3 linked regions of the Mus musculus genome follow. The protein of the gene in region 3 interacts with the protein of the main gene of each other region in a pairwise test. Links are inferred from orthologs where the notes say so. Each region holds a gene or a part of one and is shown on either strand. Other genes may lie near its edges.

Evidence for each region.
Region 1: the proteins of Atxn1 (region 3) and Srebf1 interact in binary tests that used the Homo sapiens proteins (3 or more experiments, as listed by UniProt). The link is inferred for Mus musculus from reciprocal best matches to the Homo sapiens genes ATXN1 and SREBF1.
Region 2: the proteins of Atxn1 (region 3) and R3hdm1 interact in binary tests that used the Homo sapiens proteins (3 or more experiments, as listed by UniProt). The link is inferred for Mus musculus from reciprocal best matches to the Homo sapiens genes ATXN1 and R3HDM1.

What each region holds. Positions count from the first base shown.
Region 1 is NC_000077.6:60,199,929-60,210,575, forward strand, and holds part of Srebf1 (sterol regulatory element-binding protein 1 isoform a precursor), read right to left. Parts: intron 10,558-10,647; exon of another isoform or gene 10,427-10,557; coding exon of another isoform or gene 10,408-10,426; intron 9,333-10,407; exon of another isoform or gene 9,198-9,332; intron 7,330-9,197; coding exon 6,910-7,329; intron 6,646-6,909; coding exon 6,467-6,645; intron 6,383-6,466; coding exon 6,245-6,382; intron 6,150-6,244; coding exon 5,928-6,149; intron 5,306-5,927; coding exon 5,194-5,305; intron 4,674-5,193; coding exon 4,459-4,673; intron 4,339-4,458; coding exon 4,143-4,338; intron 4,050-4,142; coding exon 3,871-4,049; intron 3,680-3,870; coding exon 3,418-3,679; intron 3,338-3,417; coding exon 3,171-3,337; intron 3,003-3,170; coding exon 2,834-3,002; intron 2,400-2,833; exon of another isoform or gene 2,334-2,399; coding exon 2,231-2,333; intron 1,978-2,230; coding exon 1,868-1,977; intron 1,785-1,867; coding exon 1,652-1,784; intron 1,484-1,651; coding exon 1,318-1,483; intron 908-1,317; coding exon 707-907; intron 690-706; exon of another isoform or gene 610-689; and 3 more.
Region 2 is NC_000067.6:128,189,476-128,200,122, reverse strand, and holds part of R3hdm1 (R3H domain-containing protein 1), read right to left. Parts: intron 9,486-10,647; coding exon 9,384-9,485; intron 6,664-9,383; coding exon 6,367-6,663; intron 3,150-6,366; coding exon 3,026-3,149; intron 1-3,025.
Region 3 is NC_000079.6:45,958,040-45,968,704, forward strand, and holds the start of Atxn1 (ataxin-1), read right to left. Parts: upstream 6,953-10,665; 5' UTR 6,776-6,952; intron 6,587-6,775; exon of another isoform or gene 6,566-6,586; intron 6,346-6,565; exon of another isoform or gene 5,535-6,345; intron 5,399-5,534; exon of another isoform or gene 5,290-5,398; intron 1-5,289. UniProt on the Homo sapiens protein: Chromatin-binding factor that repress Notch signaling in the absence of Notch intracellular domain by acting as a CBF1 corepressor. Binds to the HEY promoter and might assist, along with NCOR2, RBPJ-mediated repression. Binds RNA in vitro.

The sequences.
Region 1 (10,647 bases), on a different chromosome or scaffold from region 3:
GAAGTGACGGTGGTTCCGCCGCCCAGGCGCAGGAGCATCTGCTGGCAGTCCAGCAGTAGCCGGTGATCGCCAAGCTTCTCTACGGTGCGTGCCGCCTCGGCCAGCATGCTCATTCGCTGCCCAGGAGCCGACAGGAAGGCAGGGGGCAGATAGCAGGATGCCAACAGCAGGGCCTCGGTGTGCTCCCGCCATGTGGGCCGTGGCTCCAGCTCAGCTGTAGTGCCTGCACAGATCACATCAAAGGGAGGGAGGCTTAGGTCTGGCCGAGCCCACACCCCATGTGCAGGACAAAGTAGCTGAGCTCTTCCACGTGGAACTCCCAGTCTGGCTGCTTTCTCCACTTGGGCTGGGCACACAGGGGGGCTCAGCTTCTTTCCTATGACTGCCTCAAAAACTGTCATCCCCGCTGATTTCTGTAAGTCAGCTCTCAGTATGTCTCACTAGACCAAGACGGCCCCTGACCCTCACCAGCCCTGTAAGCACAGCCACCTCCTCACCTCCTTTGCCACTGGAACCTGCCCTCCTCCTCAGACTGCGATCCAGGAGCTGGTGTGTCCGGGCAGGACTTGCTCCTGCCATCAGCCGAGCTGTGGCCTCATGTAGGAATACCTGAGAGGCAAGGAGTAGTCACCCGTTTCAGATTTACTGTCCCCCCACTCCCGGCTTCCTACCTCATGCCCCTCAGTGTGAGAACAGTGGGACTCACCCTCCTCATAGCAGGCCGGAAGCTCTGTGCCAACCGCCGCAGGCTGCTCAGGTCATGTTGGAAACCACGCAGCTCCAGAGCAGAGGCCTGGGGTCCATTGCTGGTACCGTGAGCTACCTGGACTGAAGCTGGTGACTGCTGCCGCTGCCACAGACTGGTACGGGCCACAAGAAGTAGATCACACAGGAGCAGCTGCATGGCCTGGGATAGCAGGCAGGGCAGAGGGAGGAGTTTCCCTATGGACATCAAGCTTTCCCTAGCTGAGGGCCACCCTGTCTCAAGGCAGCGTCAGTAAGGGCAGGAAGTCCACAGCACTGGGGCCTGACTCCAGGTTGCATCACTGAAGCACTGCATCTGCCTCAACACATGCACCGCCTCCTGCTACAAGCCCGCAGTCTTCCCAACAATGGCTCCCAACAGGAACCCTGCCAGTCTGCTCCCCACACCCTCCTTCCTGGTGGTGGCGAAACAGTAAAGCCCCCTCTCCCCAAGACTTAAGCCGTCGTTAAAACTGAGGTAAATCCATTTAGCATTATTCTGTACTAACACCAAGAACCTGGAAATGGACAGCTGTGACCCTGGCCTAGACAGGAACCCACCCTACCCCTCACCTTGTCAATGGAACTGCCAGTTGGTGTAGAGGCTAAGCTGTCCCGCAGGTACCCACTGGCCTTCTCACAGATGGCCAGGCTGGCTGGGCTAGATTCCACCTTTCTGTGGTCCAGCAGAGCCCGGGCAGCCTTGAAGGAGTACAGAGCTGCCCTGGGCAGGGGTCTCCTGTTGGGGCCATGGCAGACATAGGAAGTTAGACCAAACTACAGCCCTCCCTGAGATCTCCCGCCACGGTTCTAGACTCCTGGGAGGACAGCACTGTCCTCCTGTACAGATATTTAAGCAAAGTACTGCGGGGCTGACTGGGCGGGAGGGACCTGGCTGGGGACTCACTCAGTGTCCTGCAGCACCTGGGGGATATGCTCTACCAGTGGGTACAAGCGCTCAGCTGCCTCTTCATCCCGCCTCAGCCAGTGGATCACCACAGCTGTCAGTGAGGCCCACCACTTGGCCACTGGGTCTGGGCCTACAGAAGAGGGAAAGGTGCTTGACTTTCAGCCACACTGTATCTGGGTCTGGCAGGAGTCAGGACGGGGGTCTGGAGCTCACCAGTGGTGGCAGCCATGCTGGAGCTGACAGAGAAACTGCAAGCAGGAGCCCCGGCAGCATCAGAACAGCTATTTAGCAACTGCAGATATCCAAGGGCATCTGAGAACTCCCTGAGGCAGGAGAGAGCTGTCAGGACACATAGCAGCAGTCTCGGGTTCTGGGTGAAAATGGCTCTCACCAACCGTCCAACCAAGCATAGTCTGACCCTAGGATTCTACAAAAATACCACCTGTCTGGCTGATAGGGGAAAGCAAGACCCAGAGAGGCTCTGAGAACAGAGTCTGGCTACTCAAGAGGTTGGACAAGGCTTTCCCAGATGCCCTTGTTGTAGGTCTTGCCTGGGAGTGACACAGACAAACTCACCTGTCTCCGTCAGCTGCCCCTGGGCTGGGCTGAGCAATACAGTTCAACGCTCGCTCTAGGAGATGTTCACGGAATAGCCGGGTCACCTGGGCCAGCGGATCCACTGTGAGAAGGGTGAGCAGAACAGAGGTTAGGCACCCTCCTCTCTACAGTCCCCTCCCACACCAATGCCTTAATAAGCTGGGGCCCCAACCCAGAGCTACTTCCTAGTTCCAAACCCTAACAGACAGACAGTGATGGGTCCCTGCCCTCATAAGCTTGATGGGGAAGAAGGGGTAGGCTGTGCACAAGCTACACACTGGAAAGGAGAGCCTATTTAGTCACATACCCATGGCCCTGACTCTGCTCAGGACTCTTCCTAAGACAACAATGGTGTCCCCTAGAGTCACCTCTCATGTCCCCCATTGTCTGCTGACCCATACTGCTTCCTGCTTCTAAAGAACCTTGGCAAAATCCAGCAAAAGCCACCTCATAGCCACCTCACAGCCCCAACCCCACAGGGCAATATAAGCTGGTAAGTGAGGGCATTCAGAGAAGAGGGGACAGTGCAATGTGACATAGGGACAGGGATGAGGCAGGGGTAAGAACAGAACGAGAAAGCACCTGGGTTCCCAGCCACGCTGTACAGGCTCTCCGGGGGGGCACCGTGCACGGCCCAGTCCCCGTCCACAAAGAAACGGTGACCTACAGGGTGGCAGAGCCACTGCATGGCAAGAGGCACCGAGCCGCTCTGTGCTAGGCAGGCCTGGCGGGCGCTGCTCAGGAAGAAACGCTGTAGGGAAGGAACAGAACTGTCACACTGGCTCCCAGTTGGATCCCAGGAGGGCCTACAGCCCACCTGCTAACCACTGCCACATCCTGTTTAGCCCCTTGCCCTGGAAGTGACAGGTTGAGAGTTGTAAAGAGGAGCCCCCAGCCCTGTCCCCATCAGCCTACTCACTGTCAAGAAGTGCAGGGCTCTTGGGAGGCTGGTTTTGACCCTCAGGGCCGCTGCCACATAGATCTCTGCCAGTGTTGCCATGGAGATAGCATCTCCTGCGCACTCAGCCAGGTTGAGGGCACTTAGTGCCAGGTTAGAAGCAGCAAGATGTCCTCCTGTGTACTTGCCTGCAAAGTGGGTGAGGCATGAGGACAGGAGGTGACGGTGTGGTGGGGACCCTCGGAGCCCAGCTCCCAGCCAGCCATACCCATGGCATGCAGCTGGTGCAGCTTATGGTAGACAACAGCCGCATCCCGGGCACTGGCACGGGCATCCTTCCTCAGCCCACGGTCCCTCAGCAGGCCCCCGGCCTGGCCTGCCAGCCAGCGGCCCACCCAGAGACGCTGGAGCAGGTGGCGGATGAGGTTCCAAAGCAGACTGCAGGCCAGATCCAGGTTTGAGGTGGGCAGGGGCCGGCCCAGCGCTTGCAGGGCCAGCCACAGCTGTTGAGCAGCCTGGGGGAAATCTCCCTAGAGAAAAGATTCTCAGTAAGAAAAATGGCAGCAGGGATGGCAGCAGGGTACCCCCTTGTCTGGGCCCCTAGAGTCAGGAGCTCTGAAGGCGGGGGATGAGACAGACTGGAGAAAATGAAGTGAGCAGAGGCACCCAGCACCTTCCAGGCCCGGGGCCCCACCCCGCCTCCTCAGGGTCAGCCCCTTACCCGGGCCAAATCCAGGTCAGCTTGTTTGCGATGTCTCCAGAAGTGTACAGCCGGGCCAGAGTGTGGCCTAGTCACAGGTTCCCCATAGACAAAGAGAAGAGCCAAGCAGGCCAACACTAGTAGTCCATTGGCCAGCCAGACTAGGGGTGGCAGCAACCACTGGGTCCAATTAGAGCCATCTACAGGCAAAGAAAAGGTCTGAGAACTCAGTTCTCCGGAAATCCAAAGTCCCAAAGGTCTCTGCCGACAACACCTGGGCTGACCTGACTCACCTCTGCTCTCTGCCTCCAGCATGCTGCGCCCAGAACTACGGTGTGTACCCGTAGCATCAGAGGGAGTGAGAATGCCCCAGCCGAAAAGCGAGGCCAAAGGATTGCAGGTCAGACACAGAAAGGCCAGTACACACAGGGCCAGGCGGGAGCGGTCCAGCATGCCTCGGCTGTGTGAAGGCAGCCGCTGGGCTTTGACCTGGCAGGGAGCAAGGGAGGTAAGGGCATAGAGCTCAGCTAGCCCCAAAGGCGAGGCTAAAAGGTGGAGGAGACTGCAGGGCTGCTGGGAGAGGGAAGGGGCCATATTGCAGAGTCCAACCTGGCTATCCTCAAAGGCTGGACTGTCGGGCTCAGAGTCACTACCACCACTGCTGCTAGCTCTGCTGCCAAAAGACAAGGGGCTACTCTGGGAGGGTGAGCCGGCGTCTGAGGGTGGAGGGGTAAGCGTCTCCACCACTTCGGGTTTCATGCCCTCCATAGACACATCTGTGCCTCCTCCACTGCCACAAGCTGACACCAGGTCCTTCAGTGATTCTGTAGGCAGAAAGAACAGGGCTGGTGAGAGAGGCCTGGCCGCCAAGCGCCAGGACTTGGATGGTTCTGTTATGCTCAAAACAGGGGCCAAGGTAGGGTGAGAGCCAGAGACAAGGTTGGGCAGGGATAGAGAAGGCAGCATCAGGGTGGCAATCTGAATGAGAATGGCTTTCAGAGGGTCCCGTTTGACCGCTTGGTTCCCATTCCTGTTTGGGAAGGATTGGGAGGTGTGGCCTTGCTGGAGGAGGGGTGTCACTGTGGTAGGCTTTGAAATTTCAAAACCCCACACTATTCTCAGCTAGCTCTTTCTCTTGGCCTTGTGGCTGTCTCAATATTTGAGCTCTCGGCTACTGCTCCAAGCGCCAAGCCTGTCTGCCTGCCGCCACCACTGTGGTCATGGGTTCACCCCTGAAACTGTAAGCCTTTAATAAACCTGACCATGGTCATAGTGTCTTCACAGCAACGGCATAGTGGCCAGGACAGCAGGGGGGGGGGGCGGGGGGGAGGGGCTGGGACTCACTGCTTTTGTGTGCACTTCGTAGGGTCAGGTTCTCCTGCTTGAGCTTCTGGTTGCTGTGCTGCAAGAAGCGGATGTAGTCGATGGCCTTGCGCAAGACAGCAGATTTATTCAGCTGTGAGGAGAGGGAGAGGGCTCAGCCAGCCAAGTGGACCTGACCACAGGTACGAGAGCAGGTAAGAGCCGCTCTGCGTCACAGCTGCCTCGGGGCCTCTGGACGGGACGGTTCCTTCTGACTACAACTCTCCTATGCTGCTGTCTCCTGACAGTACCCACTCCACAGGGCAGAGATAAAAGTCACCCTGTGAATACTCACAACGGTGTCTCCCAGCTGCGGCCCCTGCTGTCTCCACCTCACATTCCCTACACCCTCAGCTCTCTACGGTGAGACCTTCCTTGACCACCCAGTTCACAACCACAACTTTCACTGGTCCTGGTTTCTTCCCCGAACATGGGAGCCAGCCGCTGCAATTCCCACTACTCCCCTAGGGAGTCAGTTCCTCCAGGACAGGATTTCTGTGCTTCATCACCACGCCCCCTCAATGCATAGACCAGCTTTCTTTATCCAGGCTGCCCTTGATAAGACCTAACTCCGCAAACGGGACTGCCTAGACCCAGACAAGTTGATGCATATGACTAAGTGACGAGGACTGACCTAATCCCATCCCCGGCTGGCTGATGTGCCCCATTTCTTCCCTGGTCACCCTGACCTGAGTCTCGCAGGCCTTTGGCCGTACCTTTGCTTCAGTGCCCACCACCAGGTCTTTGAGCTCCACAATCTTGTCATTGATAGAAGACCGGTAGCGCTTCTCAATGGCATTGTGGGCTGTGCGCTTCTCACCACGGCTCTGAGCTGAGCCTAGGGCCTTGCTGCCAGCTGCGAGTCGGTGGATGGGCAGTTTGTCTGTGTCCACAACCAAAGGTACTGTGGCCAAGATGGTCCCTCCACTCACCAGGGTCTGTGGGGTCAGATGCATCTCACCAGGTGGACAGACACATGCGCAGCCAACCCTCCCCCCCCCCCCATAGTCTCCCTTGTGCCTGAGCCATCTACCTGCAGGGGACCTGCCTGCACGGCTGTGCCAGGAGCCAGGGTGCTGATGCCTGCAGTCTTCACGGTGGCTCCTGCATCTGTCTTCACAGCTGTCAGCAGCAGTGAGTCTGCCTTGATGAAGTGTGGCTGCAGTACAACCTGGATGGGAGGGGCCAAGCTGTAAGCGAGCAGCATCCAAGCCAGGCGTCCCCACCCCCCACCTTCCTGGTCAGACCCACTCACTGGGACCTGCTGGACCTGTGAGGTCACAGTGTTTGTTCTAGGGGCTGCTGAGGCTGGCAGCGGCTGCTGGGAGGCCAAGCTTTGGACCTGGGTGTGCAGGGCAGGGGTGGGCAAGACTCCTGGTGCAGGGGCCAGCGGCAGGCTAGATGGTGGCTGCTGAGTGTTTCCTGGAAGGGTCCCTGCAGAGACAGAGTTTAAGGTTGCTGGCACAGGCTGCCTTGCCGACCTTTACCCCGACTGGCCTCACATAACTATCCCCATTACTTCATAGCAGGACAGACCCTGCACATGTCACCTTCCAGCTGCACAACTGGGGGTTGGGGGGATGCACTGGGCCCAGAACCAAAGGGCATCTCAGGTCGCAGGATGACCACCTAACTTCTGAAGCCTGGGAATTCCTCTGTAAGAGCACAGCGGCCACTCTTCTTCCATCACTCGCTCACCTGAGAAGCCTGAAGGCAGGCTCGAGTAACCCAGCACGGGCGCAGGGCTGAGCTGTACGGGTGGTGCGGGGAAGCTCGGAGGCAGGAGGGTCCCCGGTGACGGCTGTGGCGCTGCAGGCTGTAGGATGGTGAGTGGCACTGGCTCCTCTTTGATCCCAGGCCCAGGGGAAAAGGGGGACACGGACGGGTACATCTTTAAAGCAGCGGGTGCCGATGGTGGAGGGGACAAGGGTGCAGGTGTCACCTTGGGTCCTCCCAGGAAGGCTTCCAGAGAGGAGGCCAGAGAAGCAGAAGAGAAGCTCTCAGGAGAGTTGGCACCTGGGCTGCTGGGGCCTGTGTCCCCTGTCTCACCCCCAGCATAGGGGGCGTCAAACAGGCCCGGGAAGTCACTGTCTTGGTTGTTGATGAGCTGGAGCATGTCTGGGGGAGGAGACGACGCGGTGAGTGAGTGGCAGCAGGGTATGGAGGCCAGCTCCACACACAGCCGCTTGTGATGTGTGCAGGTGACAGTCCTGGGCACACCAAGGAAGGCCTGTACTGTTGGAATCCTTACTCATTTCTAGCCTGCGCTTCATGCTGTGGCTGGCTGAGACTGTCCTCTTCAAGGCTCTTGCCTCTCACCAACATCTCCTAACATCCCCAGCATAGCACACAGCAGGGCCACATTTGTGCGTTCACTCATTCACCTACTCAGCGTGTACCAAGTGCCTACACCAGGCAAGGCCTTCTTCCTGGGCCCCCTTCTCCCTAAGGCTTGGAATCAAAGAACAGAACAGACAAAAACTTTGTCTATGCTATGCTATGCCTAGCAACGCTGGGGTCTCAGCTACTAGGGAGACTATCCTCGAGAATCCAAGTCCAGCCAGACGGCTTGTGACACACAACTTTAATCCCAGTACTTGGGAGGCAGGGGCAAGTGGATCTCTGTAAGTTCAAGGCCAGTCTGGTCTATACAGTGAGTTCCAAGTCAGCCAGGGCTACAGAGTGAGATCCTTTCAAAAAACAAACAAAAACAAAACAAAAGAAGGGTAAGCGTCCAGCTGAGCAGTCTGATGGAACCTTACCTCACAAGGAAGGAAAATTCAAATCCCACCCAAGAACCAAGATCTTCCCTGAGAATGCTCAATGGCCCCTCTCTTAGTGTGTTTTATATCCGTGGGTTGGTGGGTTTTTGTGTGTGCCAGAGTGGAGCAGAGAATGCACATGATCAGCACATACTCCACCACTGAACTCTCTACCTTGGCCTGTCCCGTTTGTTTAATGTGAACACACGTGTCCATACGTATGCAGTACTTCCCCAACCCACCCCCTCATGACCCTGGAGACTGACAGACAACCTGGGGAATGCAGGCACTGCAAGTGAGCCCCATTGCACCTAGTATTTTAGGGATCAAATTCAGGTCTCTATCAAATGAGCAACCTCCATTTCTGGGCTGAATTCCTGCCATGGACGAAGGGAACCTTTAATCCCACCGTCCTGAGGCATCCGCTGCTCAGTCCTGCAACCATGCAGGTGCCCTCTGTACTGCATGGTGAACTCTGAGCACTTGCTCGAAGGCAGGAGGCCATCCAAGACACCTCTCCCGCCCTTGCTGCTCCCTCTCCACCAGGATGGCTTGTTAAAAGAACACATACTCAGTCTACAACGTGGACAGCCCTGCTCTGCCCCAGTTGAGCTTCCATTTCTCAATCTGTAAAACAAGGGCATGCCTCACACACTCAGGAGGTCCAGTTCTCAGTAGAGGAACAGGTCCTAACAGGCAGTAGGGCAGAGGGGACACAGAACAAAGGAGCTTTTACACTGGAGCAGCGTCCATGCCCACGGACACTCCAGGGCTCTTCCTTTAAGGGTGTTTGCACAGGGTCCCCTGCACACAGAACTTGACAGAAACTCAGAGACTCACTGGGATTCCAGTGATGTCACCCACCCACTCAGTTACAAGGGAAGAGGGAGCTACAGAGAGACAGGGTCGTTCTAACGGCCTCTGAGAGTGGAACTCCCAAACAAGAGTAGCAGACATGGCACACATCCACGGCAGGCAAGGTCCTTATCCATCTTGGTCAGACTCAAAAAGTAAGGTCCATGTCAGCATATCGGGTCTGGCCAAGCAGCAAGCCCACTCTGAGGTCAAGATACTGACTGAGCCTGCTTAGGCCAAACAGATGCCCTGTTGTACAAGTGAAGTGACTGAGCTGGCCTAGTCTCACTGAGTCCAAATCTCCCTGACAGTGTTGAGAGCTAGCCAGTACCCCTACTCAGACCACCATCTCAACCTGGGCGTGCTCACCTGCTCTGGAGGCAAGAAAGGACACTGGTGCAAGGGCCACAGGCACACAGACAGCACACAACAGACTTCATACCCAGGTCTACAAACAGGCTGAGCTATTGTTGCAGCACCTTTCCTTGTTCCACCAAAAAGCCAGGGGCAAAGCCACCATCGCTAACCCACTCCTCAGCAGAGCACATACCCAGGCTTGGAGCAGAACCAGTGGCTGGCCAAGTAGCCAACCAATGTGCCTGTGTGTTCTGGGCATGGAGCCAAGGCCCCGGGTCTGGCCATTCTGGCTTTGGTTTCCCCTCTGGAAAAGCTCTCTTATCCTGGCTCCTTCCTCCTCGCAGGGACTGAACAGTCCTCCCTGGCACCATCCCAGCTCCAGGCCCTCTACCCCAGCTGGCAGCTAGCAGCCTGGCTGGCTCAGTCCAGGCCCTCTCACCCACTCATGGAGGCCACCTTTTGGGTCAAAGGGCTCTATAGCATATAGTGAGCATAACACTAGGGGGCCCACACTGCTCTCACATCCCCTGCCCACACCTCCACTTGCGCTGGAGGCCACCTGCCTCCTCTCCCTGGGCCTCAGTTTCCTCCTCTGCAAAAAAGAAAGGACTAAAACTAAACCGTTTGTTTGACACCCTTGCGTGAGGCTTTGCCCACCAGAGCAGGGTATCAGTACTGCCCATTGACAGATGTTTGAGCAAGTGGTGTGTAACTGCAGGGGAGAGACTGCCGTGAAAAAAACAGGGTGGCAGGCTCAGCCTTCTGGATGCTTGCAGACTCTCCAGATTTATGCAGGTCATAAATAGTACTTTTAATCATAGGACCTTCCATCTCTCATGCCCACTCAACATTAGCCATTTGCCAACTGGGGAAACCAGGGTCAAGAAGGAAAAACTAATAGGGCTGGAAAGCCTGCCTTTTGCTGGAGGGTCCAAAATGGCCAATTTAGGGCCACCAAATGGGTCAAACTCCAGGATTGACAGGACAGTGGCCTTCTTGTTTCTTTCTCCAGATCCTGCCCAGAGGGAAAGCAGAGGATGTGGAGAAAGTTGTCTAAGTTGCAAATTGCAAGGTGTCGGTCCTTAAGCAGGATAAAGAGGCCCACCAATTTCCAGCCCAAGGTGGGGAAGGGCCGTCCTGCATTCTCTGTTAGAACACCGTACTGCAGTCCGCTGCAGAGACCCTGGCAAAGTAATAGAGTGCAGGGTCCTCCCCAAAGTACCTTCAAATGTGCAATCCATGGCTCCGTGGTCCGCGCCCCGCCCCTAGGGCGTGCAGACGCTACCCCGACAGCTTCCGCGCCGATTTCACCTGTCAGGCCCCGCGAGGCTTTAAAGCCCGCCGATCGCCTCCGTGCCCCGCCCCTCGGGTGAGCGCACATGGCCAATCAGCAGCCGCGCCGCGCCCCATTAGGGCCCCGCCCACCCCCGACGGCGGCAGCTCGGGTTTCTCCCGGTGCTCT
Region 2 (10,647 bases), on a different chromosome or scaffold from region 3:
AAGCTTTCATAAATACACAGCAGAGGACCTTTGCTGCCTATTAACAGGGTTTGATAACACAGAGAGTCATATAAAAAGTACTTAAATAAATGGCATGAGAGTCAACTTACTTTAAAAAAATTATTCATTTGTTATATGAGTACACTGCAGCTGTCTTCAGACAGACAGTGGAACAGGGCATCAGATCTCACTACACATGGGTGTGAGCCACCGTGTGGGTGCTGGGAATTGAACTAAGGCAGAGCAGCCAGTGTTCTTAACCACTGAGCCATCTCTCCAGCCCCAACTTACTTTTTTCTATTGAAGTTTTTTTGATTTTTTTAAAGGTATTTTATGTGCATAAGTGTTGTAGAAGCCTACATGTAGGTTTGGTGTCTGTGGAGTCAGGTGAGTGCTTTGGATTCCCTGGAACTGGAGTTACAGATGTTTGTGAGCCACATGTGGGTGTTAGGAATTGAACCAGGGTCCTCTACAAGAGCAAGTGCTCTTAAGCTCTAAGCCATTGCTCCAGTACTCAATTTACTTTTTATAAAATTAGTGAGCTATCACAGGAAGGGATGTTGCCAGGCAGCAAATGCCTGCTGAGCATAGACAAAGACTGGAGTCTAATACCCAGGACCACAGGGGGAAAAACCATAAATAAAAACAAATCACATCAGATGTTATAATTTTAGAAGGCAAAACAAAAAAGATATACACTACGAAAAGTCAATTATTTTCAGGCCCAAGAAAGCACAGAAAAAATGCTTTCTTTACTATTATTTTTTAAGGTTTTTGTTTTAATTTTGACATATGGTGCTGTTATACAGCCCAAGTGTACCTTAACCCTGCTGTGATCTTCCTAACCTCAGCCCACATAGCGCTAGCATAGGCATATGTCACTGGTCCCAGCTAGAATATCATTTTTATTAGAATAATACAATTGTCTATGTGACCTTAAATGAGCAATAGTATGATCAATGTTCATGAGCAATCTCATTTTTATAAAAACCTTTTATAAAAAGTTATAATTATAAGATACGAGTGCGAGAGTTTACATGATGTGTCATAGAACACATGACAACTTTGTGGGGCTGGTCCTTTCCCCTCTACCTTTACAGAAGTCCAGGAATCAAATTCAGGCTGTCAGGCTTGCGCAGTAAGCATCTTTACCTGCTGAGACAACTAGCAAGCTAGCAACAACTTTGATATCTTCTTAACTTAAAATATAAACTGTTTATATTCTTTGACATGGGCCATATTACTAGGCTTCAGGCAAATCTGACATTAAAAGGAGTCATATTTGAGACAAAAAAAATTATAGTTTAGCTAAAATGATCAGAAGATGCCAAAGCATGTAGGAAAATACCTGTTGCATGTGTAATGTAGGGCTAGTGAACAGAAAAAGGAGCCCAACCACTAAGAACAGAAAACTTTCAGGTATAGCAGGTTAAGGACACAAAAGTTTGGATGTGGAGCTGTGCTAATTATGACTCTTATCTGCAATGGGAGTTGTTGACTACACTGTACAAGAAGCAAGAAGTGAGTATTTTCACTGGAATGACCAGTCCAGAAGTAGGTCTAAAGAGTTAGGAGACAGCACTGATAACAGCAGACTCCTCTGTGCAGCTTGACTGAAATGCCTCTGCACAGAATCTGTACCTTCGCCAATGACAAAGAACGCAAACTGCTCTACAGAAATCAATTATAAAATTTAATCTCAATTCTTTAATTTACGTAACACAGGTTTTAATTAAATAACGCATTAAAATTTGTAACAGTACACAACCAGGATGGCAACAGAAATGAGCTCATTAAGATCAGTAAGACAGCTTTCTGTGTGTCTGTGGGATTGCATCAATGAGTGCACATATGTGTACAAACCAGAGATCACCTTGGGTATCATTGCTCAAGAGCTGTGCACCTTATCTTCTTAAAATAGTCTCTCATTAGTTCTGAGTACACCAATCAGGCCAGGTTGGCTGGGAATCAAGTCTCAGAAATCCACCTCTCTCCCTTGCCAGCGCTACAATGATAAGTATCGTACTATGTCTGTTGTTATGTGGGGAATAGGGACTACACTCAGGTGCTCAACCTTGTAAAGCAATCACTAATTGCTAAATTATTACCAAGCCCTTAATACAGTATCTAAAATATGAGACTGGAGTTCAGTTCAACAGATTCTTTAAAAAATAGGACAAAAAGAAATCAAGATTGAGTTCTAATAATTTTTATACTTCCAGTAGTAGATTCTATTTGTTTCTTGTTCACCAAATAATTATCAAACTGAAAATGAGAAAGAAAAATGTATAAGAATACAGTTCATCAAGCCAGGTGGTGGTGGAATACATCTTTAATCCCAGCACTCTGACAGGTGGATCTTTAAGATTGAGGACAACCTGGTCTACAGAATGAGTTCCAGGAGAGCCAGGTCTACACAGAGAAGTTTCTCTGGGAAAAAACCAAAACCAAAAAAAAAACCAAAAAAAAAAAAAAAAAAAAACCAAAAAAAAAACAAAAAAAAAAAACAAACCCAAAAAACCACAACCCCTCCAAAAAACCAAAACCAAAACCAAAAGAAAAAGAATACAGTTCTTCAGCCATCTTTGACATTTAAGGTTCAAATGAAACCATTTAACAGATTCTGCTTTTTGTTTCTGGTTATAGTATGGAGGCCATCTCGATTTACATAGCTCTGTAAAGGGCTTCTACTACCAAGACTATGAGAACCCAATAGCTACTCACCAGATCCTGACCTTGCAGAACCTTCATGTTATGCCCTCATCCCTTTATCACACAAATCTGTGTAGTTTTCTAAAGAAAGATATGATTTTCTACTCTTCACGTAATGTGACTAGAGCTCTCTCTCTCTCTCTCTCTCTCTCTCTCTCTCTCTCTCTCACACACACACACACACACACACACACACACACACCCCTGAGATCCTCAAAGATTGAGCATAATAGAATCTTAATGTAAAGGATAAAGTAAAACTGGAAGCAAAGTAACGTCCAGAGTTGAAAACCTTGGCATGGAGACAACTCACCTGTGTGCTGTGCAGGCTGTGGCAGTGGTTGGTTTAGGTGTGAACTGTGATGGACAGAAGGGATAGGGCGGTACTGAGGTTGGCTGGAGTGATAGTGGCCTGGAGCACAGTAACAGGCTGGCATCTATAATTGTAAGCCACGAGGACAAAAATTAGTTTCATTTGGAAAAGTAGTTTTTCCATGAAGCACATTCAATGAGTAGTAATTATAAACCCTTTTAAAACCAACTGGATTTTTCAATTTAAATGGAAAAAAAAAATAAAGTCCAGGTTTCAGGTATCTTTAAAAGGATATCCTCCCGTGGGTGTGGCAACAAATGCCTTTAATTTTAGCATTCTGGACACAGAGGCAAGGGGATCTCTGTGAGTTTGAGGCCAACTTAGTCTGCATAGTGACTTCCAGGTAAGCCAGGGCTAAATAGAAAGACCCTGTCTCAAACAAAACAAACAATCCCTCAAACCAAACCACACAGAGCAAAAGACATTTACCACTGTGCTCACTAATCACTTTTAGCTGTTAATTTTATTGCTGTATTTGTTTCACATTTTTTTTTTTTAATAAAACCAAGTTTGCTTGGCTGAAATACTACTGAAAGCTACCATTGTTCATGGCTGCTTCCAGATCTCGAAGATCTGAGGACACCACATAATTTAGACTCAGGGCTTGGGGAAGTGGAGTTGAAGTGACTGGAAGCCTCCTCCCTGAGGAATAGCTCTCACACTATCAAAAGGTGCTATGCAAGCTAACAATGAAAAAAAAAGCAATCAACAACCCTACCTACCTGTACATGCTACAAATCACAACAATGCCAGCCGGACAAGGGATCCCCAGTGAAGTAAAACCAGCACTTTTATCTATGGGTTACCAACAGTTGTCTAATTGGATTTAACACCTACTCAATAGGAGGGAGTTCATGCTTGCTTGGTACATACACCTCGTCTGTGGCTGCAGAGGTTATAAATGCTGGTGAGAAGCCATAACCATTATTTTCCCAATCATTTAAAATTGTACTCTATTTATCCTTATACAGGCAAGTAAGTGTAGCAAAAAACCTTTTTGCAACAGAGACCATTACAGAGATTCACAACTATTTAAAACCAAGAGAGTAAGTATCAGTGAGGAGCCCATGCCCAGTTGAAAACATTTTACAAAGGTGTTTAAAGAAAATCTTTGAAGAGGGGGCAAAGTGGAAAGACAGTAAGAAGATGACCAGAATACCTTCTAGATAGTGTGTTTAGATATTACCCATTTCTTTTTTGAGATAGGGTCTCACAATGTAGTCATTGTTGATCTGGAATTCTGTTTAGGCTGACTACTGACTCGAGATCCACCTGCATCTGCCTCTTGAGTGTTGACATTAAAGTAATGTGCCATTACACGTAGTGTAGTTTGTTTTTTAAATTAATCTGATCTCGAACAGTTGTAGTGAAGGGGTTAAAAAAAAAAGCCCAGAAACAATCTTTTGTGGAGAAATGATCTGTCATATACACAATTCTAAGAACTCTATAAAACTAGAACCTCACTCCATAAAAAGGCTATATAAGAAAGCTAGTAGGTTAATGGTAGAGTATATCCTTACTATGTGCACAATGATTGCTTGGATTAATAATGGCTGTTAAAGGAAAGGCAAAATCAAGACAAACTAACCTGAAAAGATAATGCAAACAAACAAAAAACCAACCTGGCAAAACAAGAAAAACCCACTAAGAACTTAGTCCACTATGACAATGAATATCCATGGAAAGGTGTTGCCTGATTCTGCCTCTACCTGGGGAGATGTGAACAAACGTCTATTCATCCAAGACACCCTGGATGGCACAAACAACAGACCAGAGAAACGAGGCCAGGAACATCTAGCTTAGCAAACCCAATGAGTTTACTGGATGAATAAAAGACAAACACTGCATTACTGAATAGCTCACTGAAGTGCATGTGACAACTCATGACAATTGTATCACTGGAACTCCCTGAACAACTAGAGGCAGTTACACTCTAGTCTGGAGAGGAATCTCTCTCAGCACATGTTGCTGTAACATCAGGGAGGCCCTTGTGATCTTCTGTTTTAGGACCTTCTTGATAATTTTAAGTTTCATTGATGCTCTGAGACTAGTAAGTCTTGCTTATTTTCTGACTATATAAGCTTCCTTCCTACCACCAAGGAGGAATGTTTCAATTCAGAGGAAGTAGCTAAACAGAAGAGAAAGAGAATCCACAGGATATAAAATCACTATGCTCAAATTCCCTTTGTTGTGAACAAATAAAAAAGTGAAACTTAAAAACAGTTCCTTTTGTAGAAGCAACTAAAGACATTAAATGTTTCAAGTGTACTAAATAAAATATGTACTATCTATTTTGGCAAAACAGTCAAGCCAAGTTGTGCACATTTTTAATTACAGCATTTGGGAGGCAGAAACAGATGGGAGTTTTGAGTTTGAGGTCATCCTGTCTGCAGAGCAAGTTTCAGGAAACCTTGCTCTATATAGAAAAACTGTCTCAAATTTACTCCCTACAAAACAAAACAAACAAATAAACAAACACCCCCCCCAACCCACATTAAACATAGTGAAAACAATTAAGATCAAAGGAAGTGAACGGAGAGATTTGTTTATAACAGGAAAGTTGCCACTATGATGCTACTTCTGTTCAGCCTGGCCTATTTTTGAAATGCTGTCATATATACTTTGTGCCGACTGGTGGACTAGTTTTATATCAACTTGACACAGGCTAGAGTCATCTGAAAAGAAAGGAACCTCAATGAGAAGGTGCCTCTATAACAGCCAGCCTTAAGGCATGTTCTTAATAAGTGATTGGCAGGAAGGACCCAGCTCATTGTGGGTGGTACTATTCCTGGGCAAGGAGTCCTGGGTTCTGTAAGAATGAAACCTGAGCAGGCCAGGATAAACAAGCCAGTTAACTGAACAGCGCCCCTCCATGACCTCTGCATCAGCTCTTGCCTCCAGGTTCTTGTCCTGTTTTGAATTCCTTTGCTGACTTCCTTCAATGATAGATTATGATGTGAAAGTGTAAACCAAATGAAATAAACAGTTTCCTCCCCACTTGCTTTTGTTTCATCATGGTATTTCATCACAGTAATAGTAACCCTAACTAACACACACACTTATTATGTTTTCCTAAGATAAACAAACAAAAAAACCCACTTCTCAGAGTCAGAGGGAAATTCAAAGAAGACGTACGTTGAGTTGTAACTAAATGTTATATGGCTGCTCCCTAGGCATTTGACAATCTCCAGAGATAACCATGGGCTTTACTTACACTACCTCACAAATTGTTCCCAAGTTAGAGGTTCCTGAGAGAGAAAGAACGTGAAAAAACAACACACCTGTGGTGAGGGCTGAGGAAGAAACCCCTGCTGCTGGAGCACAGGCTGGCTGACAGGATGCCCAGAGGCAGAGAAACTGGCAGTGGGGACTGACTGCCCAGGTGGTAGGGAAGGAGGAGGGGGAGGTGGTGGAGGTGGTGGTGGCGGATGTGGAGGTGCTGTCGTCACGATGTAACCAGACTGCTGTGGAGACTGTAGTACAACAGTGGACTGGAACATGGTGGCATGAGGGTCAGAACCATCAGCTGATGGCTGGCGGGCAAGACTCATATGGCTGAACTGAGCGCCAAGGTTATCCTGTTGAAAAAAAGTTGGCCATCAGTCAGCCTTTCATTCATGGGCCAAACCTACCAATGCAAATGCTACAATACACCCCCACCCTACACCCCACATCCCTTTGAGTATCTCATCTCTCAGAGAATAGCCTCAAAATCATTACGTAGCTGAAAATTTCATGAATTTCTGATCCTCCTGTCTCCCACTTCCTGAATGCTGGAGATCAGCTATAAATCACAATGTCTAATTTGTGCAGTGCTTAGGACGGAACCCAAGACAATTTGATATGAGGCAAGCACTCTACTAACTGAGCTATATTACCCAAGCCCTACACTTTATATATATATATTTCTATTTTATTTTATTTATTTATTTTTAATATTTTTTATTACGTATTTTCCTCAATTACACTTTATATATTTGTAAGCAAGCTGTAGCAGTATATGTATGGGCATCACATGCATGTATAACAGATAAGATATAAGACAGCAGGTTCAAGAAAATGAGAACTCCTATGTAGGAGGGAAGATATAATGATATTACATATTATTTATAAAATATACCTAGTGGAAATCATAGCATGAGAAAAAGATGAGAGTGCATTTTTCAGTTTAAAAAACAAAGCTACATGTATTTAATGAAGTTTAAATGTTGACTTGGGTTCAGAAGCAAACCTGGACATTTTTATATTACATATTTAGTATTTTCTGTGAGAAATGACTTTTAAATAGCTCTTCTCTTCTGCATTTCCAACTATCAAAATCTAACTAGTCATTCCCTTTTTTTAATATGTCAAAAAATAATATAGGCATAATTTCTCAGTCTGCCGCTCAATGTAAACAGGAGGATACTTTATATCAAAGCGTCCTGTTTCTGGATCGTTGCTAAGCAACCAGTGGACTACAGCCAAGGCTATGAGTTATGTGCCATACGACAGATAGCTCCTAACTCGACAGCCTAAGCATGATCTCTTATTGGTCACCCAAATGACAGCATAGGGTTAAAATGAAATGCCCGCTCTTAGGAAGCAACAGACTTAGAATATATGGAAACGGCTTCTTATATATGAAAATACTCCTAGTTCTAAATTACAAAATAATATGGCTAAATATTAAAAAAGTAGTATAAGTACAAGAGCCATTCATAAAAGATAATGTTTCCTTTTTTAATAACAGTTTTATTTCATGTGCATGGGTGTGAGGGTGTCAGACTTCCCTAGAACTGGAATTAAAGGCATTGTGGGCTACCACGTGGGTGCTGGAGACTGAACCCTGGTCCTCTGAAGAGCAGCTAGTACTCTTAACCAAAGGGCCACCTCTCCAGCCTCATGTTTCTCTTTCTTGTAGGCTGAAAGTTATTTCATAAAATCATTGAGAGATTAAGCTGATAAATATTGTCTCCTCAATTCAAAGCAAAAGCATCCAACATAGGACAGGTCAACATAGAATATCCCTAGTTAAAAACAAGCAAGTTTTTCAGGAAGTTCACTTTAAAGAAAGCAAATTTTTTTAAAAGTAGAAGCTAGTTCATGTATGGGAAAAGATGCAATGTTTTAACATCACAAAGCTAATTACTTGCAGTGCGGGCCTGATCTCACAGACCCTGACAACTATAATTCAGGGCATACTTTGGATTAAGGGTATTATCTTACAGTAAGAAATTAAGTGTCAAGTGACCTCTGATAAAGTCAGAAGTTCTCTATAGCTACATGCTGCAATCCATCGAAAGTAACTGCTTCTGACCTACTGTACCTAACTAGTACTTAAAAAGGAAAGCTGCCTGTTCTCACTAGAGTTATGTCAACACAACACAAACTAGAGTCACATGGGAAGATGGACTCTCATTAAGAAAATGACTTAATGGGGCTGGAGAGATGACTCAGCAGTTAAGAGCACTGACTGCTCTTTCAGAGGTCCCGAGTTCATTTCCCAGCAACCACATGGTGGCTCACAACCATCTGTAATGGGATCCAATACCCTATTTTAGTGTTTCTGAAGACAGTGTACTCATATACACCAAATCAATCAATCAAACAATCAATCAACCAATCAATCAATCAATCTTTTAAAAAAAAAAAAGAAAAAGCCTCAGTAAGACTAACCTGTCAGCAAGTCTGTGGTATGTTTTCTTAAATAGTGATTGATGTCATAAGGGCCAGCCCATTGTGGGCGATGCCACCACCGGGCAAGTACGTATTCTTGGGTTGTATAAGAAAGCAGGCTGAGTAAGGCATGAGTATCAAGCCAATGAGCAGCAGCCCTGCATGGCCTCCACTTCAGCTCCTACCTACAGTTTCTTGCCCTGAGTTCATGCCCTGACTTCCCACAGAAATATAGTTAGACTCCTGAGGTAAGATGAAATAAACTCTTTCCTCCCATCTTGATCTTAGTAATGGTGTTTTAATTAGAACTCTATGACACTGCCCTCCAGGACTACATAGACTCAAAACTGACTTCGATTTAAAAAAAACAAACTAAACTATCTGAGACTACTTAGTTCAGAACATTCAACCTGAAAACTTCCCTTCTGAAAAATAGGAATAATATTAAGTCTTTTATAGTTACTATAAGTTGATATAATCACTGTCTTATGAAAAGGAATAAATTATTATTAATAAGAATTAGAAAAAACCTTTGTTACCTATGTAACTTCCTGTAAAAGAGCAAATCACACTGAGCACAGTCTGAAGCATTCATCACACAATGCCCATAGTAACAGTGAGGTGAAAGGAGATACAGTACCACGGAGTACTGCTGGGTGGGTGAGACTGGCAGGAGCGGGGATGGGTAGGGGGCTGGAGAGCACTGAACAGGCTGAGAAGAGGACTGCAGAGGACCAACAGGCTAGGAATAACAGGTGGGTAAACAGTTAATGTCAGAAGAAAATGTTACAAGAAGTGCACAGCATGGAAATTTACACTTTGGGGCAACAGCTTTACATTTATAAAGTCATAAAAATTACAAGAGATTCAACAAGAAAAATAGTATCAAGTGAATTCAAAACAGCAAGAATATACCTAGGCTCAAGTTGATTTCATAATGAGAATATTAACTTTTATGTCATTAATAGAAACATCATTAGCCATTTGAAACCCTATTATCTGAGTTTTGTCAGTAAAAACAAAACTTCTTACTCTTATTTCTTGATTTTTGTGATGGGGCCGTCCTATGTTTAAGTTGCTCTATACTACTAAATTATAAATAAAAACCTTATAAATTTCTATAGCATCTGTACCAATCCTCTTATTTGATAAAGCATGTTTAAATTCTAAGAGACAATGTTCTTAAAACTTCACCACTGTGTGAAAAAACTGTAAGAATAACCTGCTTGGTGACTGGGGAGATGTCTCAGCGGCTAAGAGCATGTACTCTTGTAGAGGATCCAGGTTCAGTTCCCAGAGCCTACATGGTGGCTCACATCCATCTGTAACTCTAATACTAGGGAATCTAATGCCCTCTTTTGACCTCCACAGGCATCACATAATCACATGGTGTGTGTGTGTGTGTGTGTGTGTGTGTGTGTGTATGTGTATGTGTATGTGTGTGTGTGTGTGTGTGTGTGTGTATGTGTGTGTGTGTGTATTTTTCTCAACAGGCAACTTAAATACAGATGCACATAAAATAAATCTTAATAACCACGTCAGGACCAAAACATATCTACATATACAAACACACATCATCACATATCTACATATACAAACACACATCATCACATATCTACATATACAAACACACATCATCACATATCTACATATACAAACACACATCATCGTCTAGGAAGAATACAATCTTTTCCTCGTGGCTAAATGCTAAATATATTTTTATTAGAAGAATTCTTGGTAGGAACTGAGGAATTAGACACTATAGATCTTCAGCCAAACACTCTTTTGTTTCAAGGAGAGGAAAATTGCTTTCCAAAGGTACTAAAAACAGGTGATTCACTGTAATCTACTTTATAGATGAAAAACCAGATGAAGATAGATTAAGTGATTTTTACTGTGCTAGT
Region 3 (10,665 bases):
ACCCATTCACCCTCAATTTATTTAAGGATCTAGTACGTGCTTGGGTCTGCTCTGCAAAAGAAGTAGTTTTTTGTTTTGTTTGTTTGTTTGTTTGTTTGCTTTATCGGTCTTTGGTTTTCCCGAGTGTAATCCATGTGCAGAGAGAAAAGATAAGTGGAATACCCCCATACCCTTACAAAATGAAAATACGTCACCATCTTTCCACCAAGAGGACTGTTGGTTTACAAACGGTGGCTGAGTTCAACAGGAGTTCACAAAATTCTATTTCATCTTAACGCAGCACTTATTTTAAGGGCAAGGGAAGTTTTGATTTTTATCTGGTAACGTTTCAAAGGAAGCTTCCAAATACTTAATAATCACTTTCCCAGAAGCTCCAAGGGCTGGGAACTTGGGTTCGCTTGTACACGGATTTGTGTGTACACAAAGTCCTATTTACACATCACCTGGCAGATAAGGCTTGATAGAGTCCAAATTACAGTCTCCTCCCTTTCTGCTGAAGTACACAGAACAGTCAAATGTGATGCAAATGCTGTAAAATATTAATTTACTCTAGCACTGGCATGCCTCCTTCTTTCAAAAAGCATTTGTCCTCTTATCCTAGCCAGAGTAGGAGTTATTTGCTTGCCATATCCCATCAGAAATAGAGAGAGAGAGAGAGAGAAACATGAGAATTAAAGGCAAGGCTACATGAGCTCACTGTAAAAACACACAAACAACAAGCGAGACAATAAACTATAAAACACTGCATACACTAAAATTGGAATCTTTAATATCTCAAAGGCACAAAGCCGAGAAACACAATACTATTAATAGTGAAAGATTACCAAGCAAGGTGGCCCCAAATAACTGAAACTGAGATGATGTATAAAAACCAGGAGGGAACACAGGCATCAGGACCAGGGCCGAGGGCACGAAGAGAGAAAGTCTGCCATACACAGTGGCAAGAAAATGCCTTTTCTTTCCGTAAGAAGCAGACATGCTTACAGGTTGGCAGCTGGAATCGCCACTAAAAGCACCTGATAAGTCACTCTAAACCTGTCGCACTTAAAGGGCATTTCGGTGGAAGCAGGTTGAGTCCTTCTCAGATCAGATGAAGCCCTGCAATCATGGGACCACCTACCCCGAGGTCTTCTTAACACCTCCAGTTTTCTGAAAAGGGCTTTTTCGAGTAGAACACCATTTTTGTTTACACAAGGGTGGTCATCATTGCGTTTTCATTAGCCCACAAATGGCATACATTAAGAGTTATAGAAAAAGCAATGGAACACGGCTGCTAACGTCCAACGGGCCACACAAAGGAGGACTCGAGTTGCTCTGTTTGTCTATTATGGCTCTAAACATGCTTTAGTTCATGTGGGAGTAGTAATAACAGGAAGTACAAATATTTATACTAAATTATCCTAAAGAGTTAAGGTTTATAAGGACTATAAAATATGCCATTAGGCTGATTAGAGTAAAAAAAACATAAAAATAAAATTAGGAAAGAAAAAATAAAAACGCTGTTTCTACCAATAAAGATAAATTATCTCACGACATTCCTTTTCGTCTGTAATTTTAAGAATTTATTAAAAAAAAACTCAAACCAATTACAATTCTTACGGCCAATATTTTTTCCAATTATATAAAGCTAGCATCCTATGTGCACATCATGTTACCGCTCACAGAATTGCGATGAGTGAATTTATTGTACTAAATGAAATTAAATGCAACTGAGATAGTATTACTGAGGACTCTGACATTCACATCTTAAGCAACAAGCGAAAGAGTAAACTGCATAGGTAGAAATGGTGGCCTCCATTGCCATTTCTACAATTTTCTGTCTATAACAAACATTTAACAAAATAGGAAAAGCACCAGTTAATCTTATCAGGTGGGAAATATGACGACCAGGATCAAAGTCTGTTCTTCGAAGCAGTCAGGTTGCACAAACCTCTCTCTGTCTCTGTCTCTGTCTCTGTCTCTGTCTCTGTCTCTGTCTCTGTCTCTCTCTCTGTCTCTGTCTCTGTCTCTGTCTCTCTCTCCCTCTCTCTCTGAAGCCAGTTATTCAGACTTGTGTGACACTCCGAAAAAAATACTAAGCCTGTAAAGTCAGTCAGCCCCAAGCCCCTAAAAAACTGACAGGCTGTCTCCTGAGAAGGCTCTTTTCATATGCAAGTATTTAAGCTTTTCGGAGTCTTCAGATGACTCCAGTTCAGAGAAATTAACATTCACTCCCACACTCAGCTGCTTATGTGAGTTCTGCTCAGGGTTTTGGTGAAGTACATTTATTGACTGACTCCTAATAGGAAGCAGGGCGAACTGCTACAGTCTATTTGGCAGGAGAAGCCGTCTTACAAGGTATGTGCAGGAGCAAAATCCACTTGACATTTCAACACGGGAGAGAAAACAAAGTCACATTATACAAAAGGAACGTGAATCCTTGAACTTTAAGGACAGCCAGACTGGGAGTCATAGGAGTGTTGACTAACGTTTTAGTTGTTTCTTCACACTGGCCGTTCCTGGTTCCTGGGATTCTGGGCACTGGGAATTTTTGGCCATCTTCTGCTATTTGATATGTAACCTGATGGCTCAAGAGTCTTTCTCTAATCTTTCTCTCAAAGGCAACTAACTGGGAGGCCTGAAGTCTCTTTATGCTATTTCTAACAAAATACCACTGCTTGCCAAGCCCTCTTAAAACGAAATGGGGGCTGGGGGAAGGGACACGATGCCTTTTCCAGTTCTCCATCAAGTACAGACACTTCTCGTATTTATTTTGGCAAGAGCTCATTTGTACACTGAAAGGCACAGGCCCACGTCTAACTGCAAGTCAAGCCGTTTCTCTGTCTGTCGCAGAATAGAATCGAGGCCCTCCAAGGTGTGGATAAAACTTAAAATTTCTGTCCTCTTATTTTAGATCCTGGTTTCACATGAACTCGCCTCTCAGAAATAATAGCTCGTTTTAACCACAGTGATACTTTTTTTCACTGGACCAGTGATACTTTTTTTTACTGGACCAGGCCACAGTAATGTGCCCACCACATAAACTCAGTAACCAGGGGAAACTGAGAAACCCCCTGGGAAGAAAACTGCACAACTTTCTCAGTCTTGGCACTGGAGAGGTGAGAGATTTGTGTGTGGGGGGGTGAGTGTCTCTTTATATGTCTTTCTCTCTTCTATTTTAACCGATTTAGCTACATGGCTTTAAAACTGTAAACTGACTGGCAGGGTCACAACTAAATCATGTCACATTCAAAGTTCCTAAAACATTCCCCTTCATTTGGACTGTCTGAGCAATGTTGGGCTACTTTTCTGTTATCTTTTCAGTTATAATATAATCTTTCTGTCCTTAGTAGGCTTAAGGTGGTGCCCAACGTAAGTGCTAGAGTGCAGCTCTCTAGACGTTCATTAAATTATACCCGTAGTATCATACAAACTGTTTACTGTGTAAAGCTCCAAGCAATAGAATGGCTTGTATCATCTCTCACTTAGCTGCAATATATATATATTCAATTACTTCTGAAGATATCAAAGATCAGGAGCAACAGATCCAAATTAAGGAAGATAATATTCACAATGCCTGCCTACTGTCAGTATCCTTTTTTTTTTTTTTATAATGTAGACTGTAAAGTTTAAAACTGTAACAGTGGAGATAGGCTTGCCAGATAAGTCATCTCCTTTTCATAATGTAAACCATCTAGAAAGCCAGCCAACACTGTCAGCAATTTCTATTATAAAGCATGGGTGTGCTGTCCTCTCACACTTGAAAGGGTTAAGTGCCTACCAGGCCAAAGGCTCTAGACTGAAAAAGAAAATGTTGCTTTAGTCAGCTCTGAAAGGTTTCTAGCAAGTATCAAATACTTGTTGATCTGCTCACAATGAACACCAGCAGGATTGTGAGGCTCCTTTCTCTATCTGGGGAGATGCATTTACATACTGTCCCCAGTAGGAACAGCGTGTTGGTTTCCCTTTAGAAAAGCTAAGTAGCTCGAAGCCCCATTCAGTGTCTCCTGACTGAAAGAAGACAGCAATTGAAACAGTGAAGTCTCTCCCCTCCCGGTTCGGGGCAGCTCAAATACTGTGCATAAAACACTTGGAGTAGTTCAGGCAAACCCACCTGAATGGGCCAAGGAACACTGTCTGTAGCCATGGCAACCTGATCTAATTACATGAGTGATCAGGGCTGGAGTAAGTGTACAGAAAACTAACACCACAGACAGTATCTATGATGAGAGAGGCAGACAGGCAGGAGGCTTCTCAGCCTCAGCTTTATGTGGAAGGTGGCGTTCAAGCCAATTTATTTGCAAAGCTGCTAAAATATTGACTGATGCGTGGCCAGTTAGAGGACAATCAGAGGAGATTAAATGCCACAGCTAAGCTGTTATGGTGCAATCCCTTTCCAAGAGTTCTTGCGCATGTTTTTTCTTCTCTCTGGTGGCTACCTCTAGCTTCCCCTGGCATAAGCTTCATTCAAAAATAAAATAAAAATAAAAACCCTCGGCTATCAAACTGTCTTAGCTACCCACCCACCATCAGTAAACCAGAGGGTAGGCTTAACCCAGGCTTCTAGGAATGGCAGGGCTCTTCATAAAGCTGGACACGGTTTAGCAAACACTATTGCAAAAAAGTAACCAGCTGCGCCTAAAAATACCCAGCATGTAACTACCTTGTTGCCTACGATCTATAGCAGTGCTGTTTAAATATTAAGAAGAGCTCGCATTATAAAACAGAAATGTCACTGAGATGACACTACTAGGTTGCTACAGGGAAACATAGGGCATACACACATTCCCCTGCATACCAGGCAGAATGTGAGGTGAGAACTCTAAAGCATTACTTTTTATTCTGTAGGTGGTGTGGGGTCTTCTAATTTTACTAATTGTATCCTGTGGCTCTCTCTCTGACAAACTAAGAAACCTCTTCGGGGACAGAACCAGTTTGGAGGAGTTCCTACTGCACAACATACGGTAAACAAAATAAAAATAGCTTGCCTTTCTTGTTAGCCACATAGCGCATTATATAACCAGCTTCCGACTGGCTTCTTTTTTTTTTTTTCCGCCCTTACTACTCTTCAGCAATTTCCCAACCTTCCCCAAGTATTTATATTGCCCTCTTATCTGTAGGATTATACAGCAAGAAAGCAAAACAAAACAGGACAGCCACGGGATCGAACTAAACCCCATCCTCTTACCCCTGATCCTCCCCCCACCCCACCCCCCGCGCCCCTGGCAGAGTCTAGATACAGCACCCTACTTCCACCCCCCACCACTAAGGTCCTTGCTCAATCTCCCTAGAAAACCTGAATTGTTTCACCTCTTGCAGTCAGCTCTCTACGTGGTCTGAAATAAAATGAAAGCGCACAAGCCACAGAGTTGAAGGAGGCGGCTCAAGAGAGGTCGAAGCGCTGCAGAGTCAACCAAGGGACCACCGTGGACCCCCACCCCCACTCCCCGCTCCCCATCGCGATGGTCCTGGTCCCCGCCCGGCGCGCGAACACACGCACACACGCACCTACACACTCACACGCACTTACTCCCTCCTCTCCGACCCCGCCTCACCTCTCGCTCCGCCCGTCCGGCCCCTTCCCTGCCCCCTGCGGGACCGGCCTGCGCGCTCGGCTGCAACCACGTAGGAGGCGGCGGCGGTGGCGGCGGCAGCCCTGGCAGTGGCAGTGGCGGCGACTCGGGCCCCGAGTGAACGAGCCGCGGGGCTCCGGGGCACATCCCAATCCCCGCAGCGCCTCCTCCGCCGCCACCTCCTCCTTCCCCTCCTCCCGTCTTCATTCACCCTCTCTGCCGCCGCGCAGCAGAGCAGTCCCGGCGCAGGGCAGCGCCCGCAGCTCCTCCGCTACTGCTGCGGGCGCCGGCAGAGTCGCCGGGCCGGGCTGGGGCGCTCGCGGGCTCCCGGCTCCAGCTCCGGCGGTGGCGGCGGCGTCTGCTGCTGCTGCTCTGGATCAGGAAGCGGCCGCACCAACAGGGCGGCGGTGGCAGCTGCAGCTAGGGCCGGTCTTCTCCCGCTGCGCTGCGATGGCCCGCGCGCCCTTGCCTCCTGAGGCGCCACCTCTCCGCGCCCCTAGCCTCACGCAAAGTCCCCTCTTGGTCCCCTCGTAGCCCCGAGAGGCTGGCCTAGGCGGGGAGACCCCAAGCTCGGGGTTGCCTCTGTCAAGCTAGGCGACCCCGGGCGGGGAAGCCCAGCCCTCCCTCGAGCCCCCGCAGCGCTCACCGCCCCCACCCGGGAGGGGGGACTGGAGAGGAGCGAAGAGGGCAGCGCGACCCTCCGCGGCTGCCGCCTCCCCCTGCGCCACACGGAAGGAGGAGGACCGGGCTCTATCCGCTCGCCGCCGCCGGACCGGCAGCAGCCGAAACGGGGCGCCGCCGTTCTCCCCACCCGCGCCCCCCGCCCGGGCGCGCCCCCTCTCCTGGCGGCCGCCCACCCAGCCCCTATCTGCTGCCCTTGCTAGCCGCTCCTGCTCCCAGAGGGGGTCCCGAGCCGGGAGGCTGGAGCCGGGCACTAGTGTATGTACACACAGTCACACATACACTCGCGCGCGCGCCTGCACACACACACACACACACACACACACACACACCACGACGCGTCGGTTTCCTTCGCTCCTCTTCCAGCTGTTTTCCGTGCAGCCCATTGAGACTGGGGGAGGGGGGGTGTATGCTGGATGTTCTTTGGCCCCTCTCCGGAGAGAGCAGATTGGGGTGCGGGAGGGGGTGATTTTAATCTAAATCGGGGTGGAAGGGGGAGGGGGAGAGAAAGAATCAGAGGAGGAAAAAAAATAGCCACTTACTGTAAAGTGTAAATGGATCTGGGGTTGCGTGGGGAAGGGGTAACAGAGGGAGAGACACAGTGTCCTGCGGCTGCTGTAGCTCTAGCTGCGGCTCCACAGGGCTTGTTTTGGATCCCCCTGCAGTGAAACAGGTCCTGTACGGCTCCTCCACTGTAGTAGAAATGATGTCTGCGGTATACTCTGCTCTCTCCTCCTCCTCCTCCTCCTCCCCCCTCCCCTCCCTCCTCCCTCCGCCCGCCCTCCCTCCCTCGCGCTCTCTCTCGCGCTCGCTCGCTCGCTCCAGTATGTAAATGTGTAATAGAAGCCAAATATGGAGCAGTTGGCTGCCGCCGCCGCAGCTCAAGGATCCGACTTCATGGGGGGGGAGGGGGGGGGGAGGCACCCTCTGGCAGGCGGCCCGGCGAGCCGCACAGAGCACGGCGAGCGCACGGCGCGGCTGCCGGCCCGCGCCCTTAACCCTTCTATGCACCCGGGCTGGAGCGGCGCTCGCTCCAGGGGAGGCCGGGTTGTCTCTCCGCAACTGTGGCTCCGGATCCCCGACACCGACCGGAGGGGACTGTGCCTTCCAGGTTTGAGAAAGGGGCGGGGAAGTTGGGGCGATGAGGTCATTGGAGTGGTGACCGATCGGTGCTCGCGCGCCTCCCCGGCTCCCTGCAACCTAGTTGGAGGGGGACAGGGTGAGTGCAGGGTGCAACTCAGGCAACCTGGGAGACTCGCAGCGACGGGTGTCAGGATTTGGCTCCTACTTGGTAAAATACCCAAGGGGGCGGGGAAGTCGGCTGATTTCTAATTACGAAGTGCCCTTGGTGCCCCCCGGGTGAGCATCTAAAGAGGACTCATTGTATCCTTACTGTTAACCCTCCAACCCGCCAGCCCTGCGTCATCCGAGGCAAGGCCCGCGCCTGCTGCCTTGGCTTGCAACTCGGGAAAGTTCTCAGGCTTCCCCAGCTTGCACTGGCACCCTCACCTTTCCTGCCTGGACAAGCTGGCGACCTCCCGGTCCTCCTTTCAAATTCTGCTGGTCTCGAAATCTGCTGTGGGCATGGAACGCCTCAGCTCTAGCTAGCCCTGGTAACCGACCTCACTCACTCCTCAGGGCTAACTGTGGATCATTCATTTCATCGCAAGCGAGGTAACCTGTGCACTGAGCAGTCAGTCGATGGTGGTTCTCGGGGAAACCAAGCGAAGGAACGCTCCCCCACCCACCTTGTCCCGGTGGCTAAACGCAGACGTGGACTCCCCACCCGGCCCCCTCCGGCTACACCTCAGCCAAGCGTAAGCTCGAGGGAAGAACTCTTCTCTGGAGGCGTTCACCTTGCCAACAGGTGTGGCACCCGAAAGAAGAGCCATCACATCCCCACGAGGGTCGCTCAGTGCCGCGTTCTCTTTGCAGCAGAAAATTCTTGAAGACCAGTAGGTGTCAGGCCAGCATCTGACCTCTTTCAGGTGCTTAGAACTGAGAGTCTGGAAACTCGATCCCTTGGTCTCGCTGGAAGCCACTACTATTTATTGACTCTAAGCCGGATTTGAGAGACCTTTTGGCTCCGTTTACGTATGACCCAACAATTAGTCACTGTCTGAAGCAGCGTACAGAATCACCAAGAGAAACGTGTGCGCGTTTAAACTACTGTATTGTGGAGCCGGCACTTCAGAAGTTAAATTAAAAAAATAATAATAAAATAAAATAAAAGAGATGCAGTGGTGTGTGTGTGTGTGTGTGTGTGTGTGTGTGTGTGTGTGTGTGTGTTTGTGGTGTAGGACACATTATCTATTCTCAGGTTTTGAAATACCGTGCACACATCCACGGTTGCTTAAATAGAACTACAACTGTTCCCTCTCACCGCCCCCCCCCGCCCCCACTCCCTATAAACTGTGTTGTTCACTTGAGGATCCGCGATTATTAGACTTCATATGCTAAAGTGACATTGTTGGTCTCATTACAGCCTCTAGTGGACGGTTAACGTTGAGTTTCCTGTCGGGGCTCTGTCTAGTTTTGTTTTCCCTCCTGAGCTTTATCCAGGTGAAGGTTAACAGTTCAGAGCTTAACTGACTGGTGTCTTTTCGCTCCCTCTTGGTAAAGCTGTCTTTGAAATGGAGCAGACGCTCGCTGGCTGCCTGTGGGAAAGGCGTCTGCTTTGTGCTACAGGTATTGTTCCGGCTGGCCTGTGAAACCGACAAAGCTTCTGTTATTCGCTTCACTTGCAGACAGCTTTCATATAAAAAAAAAAACAAATTTAATCTAAAATATTTTTATAACAGAAAATATTGGTTGCCATGTTTTTGGCATAACTGAGATGTTTTTATTCCAGCTCATAATCTGTAAACTGTCCAATCCACCTCCACTCTATTTTTAGACATCTTATATTTAGAGAATTTTCAAGGGGAAAAAACCTCCTAATATTGTAATTATTACGTTGGTGCAAGCAGTTAATTTGCATTATTTTAACAACCTTAAACATATTAAAACACATAATTCATATTAGACGTAGTCGATTAATTTAAATGTTCCCTGAAGAAAGCTAAATATGTACATTATCCATACAGTAAAAATAATTAATAAGAAATGTGTTGTTTACTTTCCTAACCATTAAGATTAAAGCCATAAACACTCTCTCTCTCTCTCTCTCTCTCTCTCTCTCTCTCTCACACACATACACACACACACACACACACCTACAGCTATTGCTTCCTGCAAGTTCCAACACAAACATAATACTCATAGAGCAGTTTCCTTACTTGAGTACTGAGATGTTTCATTTCCTGAAGACAAAATGTCAAACGCACCATCTGAGAAGGAACAGGAGAGGCTCTCTAAAAGCAAAAGTTCTCATGGAAATAAAACCTCCATGGAAAAAGAACAAGGTTTTCAAGGTGGCAGCTATATAGCACTGGCCCCTACCCCCAAATCTGATATTATGTTTGTATAAGACTCGGTCGAGCTCTGTAGTGAAGCAAAATTGAGGAAGGAGGCCCTGCTGAACCTTGCTCCTGATGTGTGTTATGTATTATTTAATGTAAAAAGAAATGTTAGTACCTTCTATTTATTTTTTAAAGATATATATTAAAGATACATATATCTTAAATATATTAATACTTAAGATGTTTAATATATATTAAATATATTTAAAAATAAGGTACTAACCTGTGTGTGTGTGTGTGTGTGTGTGTGTGTGTGTGTGTGTGTGAGAGAGAGAGAGAGAGAGAGAGAGAGAGAGAGAGAGAGAGAGAGAGGAGGGTCCTCTTATCACTTTCTGATTATTCCTTTGAGACAAGGTCTCTACCTAAACTTAAAGGGTCATATTTTCTAGACTAGGCTGGAAATCAGCACACCTAGTCTTTGCCTCCTGTCTCTTCCCACTCCAAGTTGAGGTTACAGACCCATGGGATGCTCAGCTGTAAGCAGTGCTGAGGTCCACGCTCGGGACCTCCCTGTCTTACAACAAGTCTCAAGACGTGTCTCCCCCACCCCCCACCTTCTTTCTGTTTTGCTGATTTTTGTCTTGTCTACTCTTGAAAGGTCAAAATGGTCTAGCAACTATTTCTTAGGTCACAAGACTCTTCTGTCACACTTCTGCATTTGCAAGCATGATAGTTAATGCAGCCACAGCTGCTGCAGCACCACCATTCAGGGGATTTTAGCTTTTCTGAGTCAAGGATCCTACCCCACACTAGGCAGGTGGGGTCTGCCTTTGAACCAACTGCTGGGGACTGGCTCAACCCAGCATGAAGAACACTGGTCTGTTCTTTGGGGCGCTACCTCAGCACACTTGGCCCCACATACAGAATCTAATTCTCCAGTGAATTACCTTCATACTAATTAAATTTACCAATGGGAAAAAATTCACATTGCACTTGGACCTCTGTATTCTCAAATTTAATCAGCTTCTGGT